Cricetulus griseus: one gene and its partner. The protein of the gene in region 2 interacts with the protein of the main gene of each other region in a biochemical or structural test. Links are inferred from orthologs where the notes say so. Each region holds a gene or a part of one and is shown on either strand. Other genes may lie near its edges. The genes, in order: Pkp1 and desmoglein-1-alpha.

The links.
Region 1: the proteins of desmoglein-1-alpha (region 2) and Pkp1 form a complex in vitro, tested with the Homo sapiens proteins (2 studies listed by BioGRID and IntAct). The link is inferred for Cricetulus griseus from reciprocal best matches to the Homo sapiens genes DSG1 and PKP1.

Annotation. Positions count from the first base shown.
Region 1 is NC_048598.1:53,356,979-53,360,801, reverse strand, and holds part of Pkp1 (plakophilin-1), read right to left. Parts: intron 295-3,823; coding exon 188-294; intron 1-187. UniProt on the Homo sapiens protein: A component of desmosome cell-cell junctions which are required for positive regulation of cellular adhesion.
Region 2 is NC_048595.1:216,590,605-216,594,427, forward strand, and holds part of desmoglein-1-alpha, read right to left. Parts: intron 3,689-3,823; coding exon 3,557-3,688; intron 2,228-3,556; coding exon 2,072-2,227; intron 349-2,071; coding exon 204-348; intron 1-203. UniProt on the Homo sapiens protein: Component of intercellular desmosome junctions. Involved in the interaction of plaque proteins and intermediate filaments mediating cell-cell adhesion.

The DNA of each region.
Region 1 (3,823 bases), on a different chromosome or scaffold from region 2:
GAGGCTACACAGAGTTCCCTGTGAGGTAATGACCAAGCTAATAGACCTGGTCAGACCTGCAGCCCTCATTTACTGACTGGAGTCTACATTTCTCTTTTTGAGCAACCAGTGAAAGCTTTCTGTTTCGGGAACCCCAGACCATGCCCACAGACATTCTAGATCTTTCTGAATAGAAGCAGTTTCTTACCGGATAGCCCCACGAGCCATTCCCCGCCTGGAACTTGGAGAAGTAGCTGCTTCTGCTCGTGGTCCCGTAGTTGTTGTAATTGTCAGCCAGCCCATCATACATGGAGCCTGGAGGGCAGAGTAGGGAGGTTAGGCAGGGATGACTATCAGCTTCACCCCTCCCTGCTCCTGCGCTATCACCCACATCCAGGTCCACCACCACTGTGGAGGGAAGCAGTCTGAGTTCCTGGGGGAAGGGGTGGAGAATGGCTGGTCATCTCTTGGCCATGCCCATCCCTCTCCATTTCCTCCACAGCCAGGGCCCAGCAAAGAGCCACCAGACTGCCACAGGGCAGCTCTTAGACCCCTTGGAAGACATTGACACCTACAGGTCACGAGCTGGCCTGGAGAGCCTTGGAGAACAGCAGCTCCTGCACAGGGAATCACCAGCCCATGATCCACAAAGATGAGATCCCCACTCGGGGAAGGAAGACAGGATCTCAACATTCCAGGTCCAGACTCCCAAGGTTAGAGCAGCCACACAGCAGTGCACACTGTAGAGTCTGCGTCTGTCAGGACTGTGAATTCCAACCCAAGCCCAGCCTCCACAGGTGATCAGGTAGCCTGCCCCTTCCTTCTCTTCTGAGGTCCTCCCGCTGGCAAAGGGGGAACAATGATCAACCTCAAAGGCCCAGTGTGGATTAATTAATGTTTGTACACTGCTTGGAGACCCACAAATGACAGGCTCTGCAGGAGGACAGAGTGTCATTACGGTTATTAGTGGCAAAGTGGATTTGAATCACAAAAAGCAGGCTGGATTTAAGGTTCATGGCAGGGACCCATCTTCCTTCTCTCTTTCACAGAATGGCAGAGAGTGGGGAGGCCTACAGCATTGTCCCAACTTCAAGCAAGTTGGTCTGTTTGAGGTCCTAACATCATGAAACAGGGCTGTCAGTGACATGTCACTCCCCATGCTGAATCTGTGTTCTCTTCTGGGCTAAAGCCATCTTTCAAAGCCAGACTCAAGACTTCATCTCCTTCAGGAACCCCTTACTGACCAGCCCCACTTAAGGCAATCTCTCTAGTCTCTGCTATATTGTGCTTTTGTACCCCAAGTCGTGTGCCACCTGGCGTCCATATTTCCTTGGCTACATTGGGAACACCATTAAAAAATATGCCATGGTTCTCTGGCCTGCATATCCATATCAAGGCTTGCTCACTCTTATTAAATGTGGCCTCTGGGTGAGCAGACAGAACCTTCTTAGTGGGATATGCACCCTTTTCCTCTGAATTGATGCTTGGAACACCCCCCCCATCAGAAAGCCTGTCTAAAGGGGAGAGGGGCTGAACCTTTACCTCCCTTAAATCCATTAACCCTTACACTTCTGCCAAACCCACACAGTTCTAGGTCATTTCCTGGGAACCAAATTGTCTGATAGGTACTTCAGAATCAGGCCAGCATCTTGCTCAGGGCCATCTCCTCTGTCCAATGCCAGACCCACAACAAGAGGCATTTCCCTTGATTCCCACTCCTCATCTTGGAGGGTGAGCAGGATTTAGAGATATTGGCTGTGGCAGTCATAGTTTGCTCCAGAAGTCTAACTGTGCCTGGCCCACAAGTTCTCCCTGGGTCTCAGCTATTTTTCTGTAAAAAGCAGTTTCTCTGTATCCTAAATGGTCCATGCACTCCCAGAGCTCCATGGCAGGCAACTATGACTGACCCTGCCTCCTCTGCCTCTTGCCTCAGGGACATTCCCATCTATAGATTCCAGAATCCCACATTGTAGGGCCCAGGACCAGGCTTTCCCCTAAAAGTGAAGTCCTAGAATTCTGCCTGGTCCAAAGAGCCTCTGATTTACTCCCAGCCCTCTGCTGGTACGGTAAATTTGCTCTTGACCCTGTCCAAACTGCAGCTGCTCCTCTGGACAGACTGTGTTTTCATAAGGAACAGGAAAAATCCTGTGACTTGGTCACCAGAGAAGGGGCCGCAGCCAGGCAGAGACATCATCAGGACTCCAAGGAACTGACATCTAGGTCTCACCCGCCTTGATCCAGCCCATGTCCGTCATCTCTTCTAAAGCTTGGCAGGCCAGTGTCTGCTTGGCTCTCATCTCTTGAGCAGGCATTTCTCCCCAAAGGGCAGGTATGGGTCAGCCAGCTACTTCCAGATGGAAACTCTGGGGTGGTGACAGATACTTCAACAAGGCCTCAGGGAAGCCTCCTACTTTAAAATCATCTCCTGGAGGCTCCCACCCAGGCCTCCACCCTGGTGAGAGGGAATCTACCAGCGTGCCCTGACACCCACAGGTCAGATAAACCATCTCCCCTTTCCATGCCCTTCACCACCCTCGCTGCCCTCTCGTACATTCTCCAGGAGAAGTAGGAACTGTGCCATAGAGGCAGAAATTAACACAGGGACAGATGGACAGATGGAAGCAGAGAATGAAATACTGTATAATTCCCAGAGCTCATCCCCACGGCGACTCAGGTAAAAACAGCTCTGAGCTGTAACTCTCATTTGGTTGGTTGCTTCCAGGCAACTTCTGAAGGTATCCTCCAAAACCTATCTGCAATTCGGGAGCCGCTTGGCTCCCTGTGAGAGTAAGGCAGCCATTATGCCAGCCAGAACTGCTTTTCTGGCAGAAGGTAGGCGTACTGCTGCAGGAATGGCAAAGGTGGGGAGGAATGGAGACTTGTGACACATTCCGAATCACACCTAGCAGCAGTCAGGGAGAGAGGTGAGCTCTCTCTGTAACAGCGCTGTTCTCACACAGAAACCACTCCCTCTCTCCTGACCCCAGGTGATCTGGATGGTAAGCCATGTCCTCTAAAAAACAAGTTCAACAGCAAGAACATGGAGCATTTCAGCAAGTGTAACCATGACAGCTCACTCTCCACCTGGTCTTTCTACTTCTACAAAACTTACTTCTGGGAAGCCTTCCGTGGCTAGCCATACTTGAAGCCTTTCTTGGCTAGCCATACTTGCATCTGCTTCATTTCCAGCTCGTGCCTGTACTCTCTCTTCCATTGGGCACGTGGGCACTTTGCAGAGCCAGGATCATAGCTCCTCTTTCCTAGGGATCCTGTACTAGGCACTGCTCTATCTGTGACTTGGCCTAATTGGCCTAAGCTGGATATTTTGGTACTATTTTTCTTTCCTGTCCAGTCCCGTGGGAAAGGTACTCTGGTCTGTATGGGCTCAACACCTCCATTTAATGTCAAATGGAATTAAAGTCTTAGAATTCTATCAGCCAGGACCTGATAGTAGTGTTATTTGGAACAAATAACATGGGCTGCATGAAATTACAGATGCTCAAGCCCACCTCCTTCAGAAGGATTCTCTTTCCTGTGGGTGAGGGTTAAGGGAGAAGTCTGAACATCCAGTTTACCCCTCAGAATCATGTTGTCCTTTCCAACAAGAGTCTGCCTTCCCACTGTTCTTTCTGTAGGTGCATTGGCTATGAACAAACAAGATGGTGACTTCTCAGTGAAGCTGGCAGCCATCTCAACTTGGGTATCATCACTGGGACACACATCTACACACAGATGCCTACACACAGAACTCCGACATCTTAGAACATCGATGCATTCCCGTTCTAAAAGCAGTGTGAGTTTCTTGCCTCAGTCCGTTCCAATGTAGAATTTCATAGGTGAAACC
Region 2 (3,823 bases):
TAGACCTTGAGGCATGAGTGTGAATTCCACTTGTTCCTTTGGAGGTACTCCTGGACTGACACTGGAGCTTTTTCCTGAGTTGTTGGTTCTGGATGCTTTCTACCTCCCAGTTGATGTTTACCTTGACACTGCTCAGCCCAGTTGCCTAGCAACAGTAATTTAGTCATCAACACAATGTTTCTTTAGTTGTACAGGTGACTCACTTGCATTAGAATTTTCTTCTATTTGTCCTGTAAATGTAGTCATGGAAAACACAGGAGGGTTGTCATTTATATCCATAACCCTGACTCTAAGCTCCAGTGGGTTCTCCAAATCTTGACCTTGTGCATTCAATGCTCGGCAGTAGATCTAGATATGAAAGAAAAGGATCCCTGGTGAGTTACACATTTGTAAGTTCTTACAGGTGGAGGTATTGTCTTGGTAACATGTAGGATTAAGGAATACCATATTATTATTCCCCATTAAAATATAGACATGAACAACACACATAATCAGTAAGAAAAGGCAAACAAGAGCATAAAATGCCAGTTTATAAAGGTAAACTGATGCATTAGATAAAGGAAATGTTGCAGCTTCTATGTTTAAAATCAAGAGAAAGAGTACCAGGGGAAGGACACCAGAGAACACGGCCAGCAAGAATCAGAGGAGCACTTTGAAAACAATGTGGCATTCTTAAGTGCTGGGGCGGTTGTTTGTTTTATTATTACTGCTTCCCTTGAGAAGACCTATAATGTGTATTATTTCACAGAGGCCATCTCTGTGTAACAGTGAATTGTGTACTGCTTTGCTGATTTATTGAATTTGTAGGGAGACACTGTGGAGGGCAGAAGTCAAGAATACAGATATGAAATTGGAGGCTCAGGAATTAAAGTAGTTCTAGGAATGCAGATGTGCAGTGTGAATTAACACAGCAAGGACTAAACAATATTTGGAGGTAGTTTGAAATATTATATCTTATCAAGGCTGGAGACTGAATCTAGTCTTTTACACACAATAAAAAATGCTTGGCCACTAGGTTAAATCCTCAGATGTTTGATGAGATTTTAATTGAAGAGATCACAAGTTCATTAGAAGATTATCATTATCATTATTATTGGTTTTTTGAGATAGGGTTTCTCTGTGTAGTTCTGGTTGTCCGGGAACTTGTTTTGTAGACCAGGCTGGCCTCGAACTCACAGAGATCTGCCTGCCTCCACATCCCAAGTGCTGGGATTAAAGACATGCATCACTACCGCCCAGCTTATTTTATTTTTTTTCTTGATTAAGAAGTGTTAGCTATGACCATAGAGGGAAATGAAGGCAGTGAATGACTAAGGAGAATAGAAGGGGGAAAGGCGATGACAGGATAATGCTCTTCAAGAGACAAGTAACAACAGGGTGACAGACATGTCATGGGAAAGTTCCGGGAAAGCAAAAATTGATCATGCTTTTAGAAGCAGTAAGAAATGTATCTGAGTGAGAAGTGAATGTTCTGTGTGTATGTATGGGAGGTGTCAGGACAGGGGATCGTGGCTTGGTTTGGAGGTGAGATGCTTAAGGAGAAGTGAGGTGAGACATTAAAAGACAGGCTGCTTAAGTTGTGTGACAACTTCTACAAGAAAAGGAGACTGGGGGTGGGGAGGACAGAGAGAGACTAAGGATGAGTGAGTTTTCAAATTTCTTTTAGGGCTCAGATGATCTTGAACAGTGTAACGTTATGATGAAGTATGTCCATATGGAACAAATAGCCTCCAGGAGCTCCAGGCTTATCACTTGGCACTGGAGTTAAAAGGAAGCATCAATTTCCACGGATTTTCTTTTTTAAGATAGAACAAAAGCTAAAGATTTACCCTTCCAAGCAAATAATCTAATTTGTCATGGAGCTGATGTTAATTAGCATTTTTTTGCTAGCACATAAAGAAAATGTTTCTATATTATTATTTTTTATCTATTGGGGTACCAGTGAATTCAGAAAGATTTGAATCTCAGAAAGCCAGATTTGGGGAGTCTTGAAATCAAATCTAGTATGGTCTAAAATTTTTCTAAGAATAATTTACATCTGCATACAGATGTTGACACAAAGCCCACTTACAATAAAAAAGGGGGTGACTTCCCGATCAACGATGGATGTTATATTAATTTCACCAGTTTTTTGATTAATAACGAAGATTCCATAAGGTGGCTGGTCAATTCCTACTCCAGAGATGCGGTACGTCACTTGCTGGTTTGCGGCACAGTCAGAATGAATCTGTACAAAGACACAGGAGAAGATGTTACAGGAGCCATGTGGACATCCACATGTGACATATGACAATGTTTTCCTTGAGAATTGTTGAATGTGCCATTTGTGGTATCACTTGGGAAGTGTTAAAAACAGGGAAATGATCTTTAGTAATAGGTATGTGGTCAGTGTGCATTCTTAATGGTAAATAGCAATGTAATGAGATAATCCCATTTCTATGTCTTTTTTTATTTTGTTTGTTTATCTTTGTTTTAGTTTTTTTAAGACAGGGTTTCTCTGTCTTAAACAGCCCTGGCTGTCCTGGAACTTGCTTTGTAGACCAGGCTGGCCTTGTACTCACAGAGATGTGTCTGCCTCTAACTCTCGAGTGCTGTGCAAAAGGAGTGCCCCACTATGCCAGCCCTATTTCTATGTCTACCAAACAATAAAGAAACAAATGCTACTCTAAGAAGTCTTTATAGCTGCTGTGCATAGATCCCATAATCATTAAACATTTATAATTTTATTTTTGTATTAGTTTTAGATTCTATTCTAGCTTCGTCCAGGGTAGGTTATTTCTTGCTTTCTTGGAGAGTTTTATATCAAATATATATTATTTTATAATGTTGATTTTTAAATCAAAAACAACTTTAAAAATACTAAGATTCAAAAAATGTTTAAGTAGATTTTTGTAGTAACAAATTATTTGAAACTTTTAATTCTGAAAGTGGTAAAGAAAAGGAAAGAGCCCACTCTAATAAAAGATTATAAAGTAAAAAAAATTGTAGAGTCTAGCTTTTTGTCCATGTAAATATCATATGAATATAAGTAAATCTTACAAGGCAGTTTCCATATCCATCTGTGTGAATGCTTGTACTTGTATCTGTGTATATCTCTCTTTATATGTCGATGGGAGTGAATCTGTGTGTGTGTAGGGAATAACTTCCTGAGTTTGTGCTTTTGTGTATGAAGAAAGAAAAAACCAGAGGAATTTGAGGTTATGAATGAGGCATGCTTTGAACCTTATATATATAGACAAATAGAAGTTAAGTCAAAGCAGAGAGAGCACGTACTCTCAGCATGCTGAACTCTATCTGTAAACCATGGTTGTTTTGGAGTATAGCATAACAATTATTCATGTGGACTACTACCAATGAGTTGAGACAATGTTTAGTTGCTAATCCAAGTACACAACTTCATTGGTTTATCCCTTTAGGAATTTTAGTTTTCATAATTTGAATGGGGAGGTGCTGTTAGGTCCCATGTGTGCACAAAGCACATAAAAGCTGGGCCCTTCCAGAACTGTGACCCTGTCTAGTGTGCTGTTTAGATCCATGCTTTGGGGTTGACACTTACTTTGGCAATAGGGTTTCTTTTTGAGTTGTCTTCACCTTCCCGACAAGCTGCAGCAAACTTAATCCACTCACGTTTCTGCCTTCTGATGGTGTGCCAACTGATGGTACCATTTTTGGCGTTATGGTCTCTTACCTTAAATAGGTAAAATACAGTGTCCATTAACTATTAACTTACTCTTACTGGTATTCAACTGAAGATTCGGGGGGGAAGAGTAATTATGTCAGGAAGAAAAGATGGTAAAATGGAAAATTAAGAATTCTGATAATA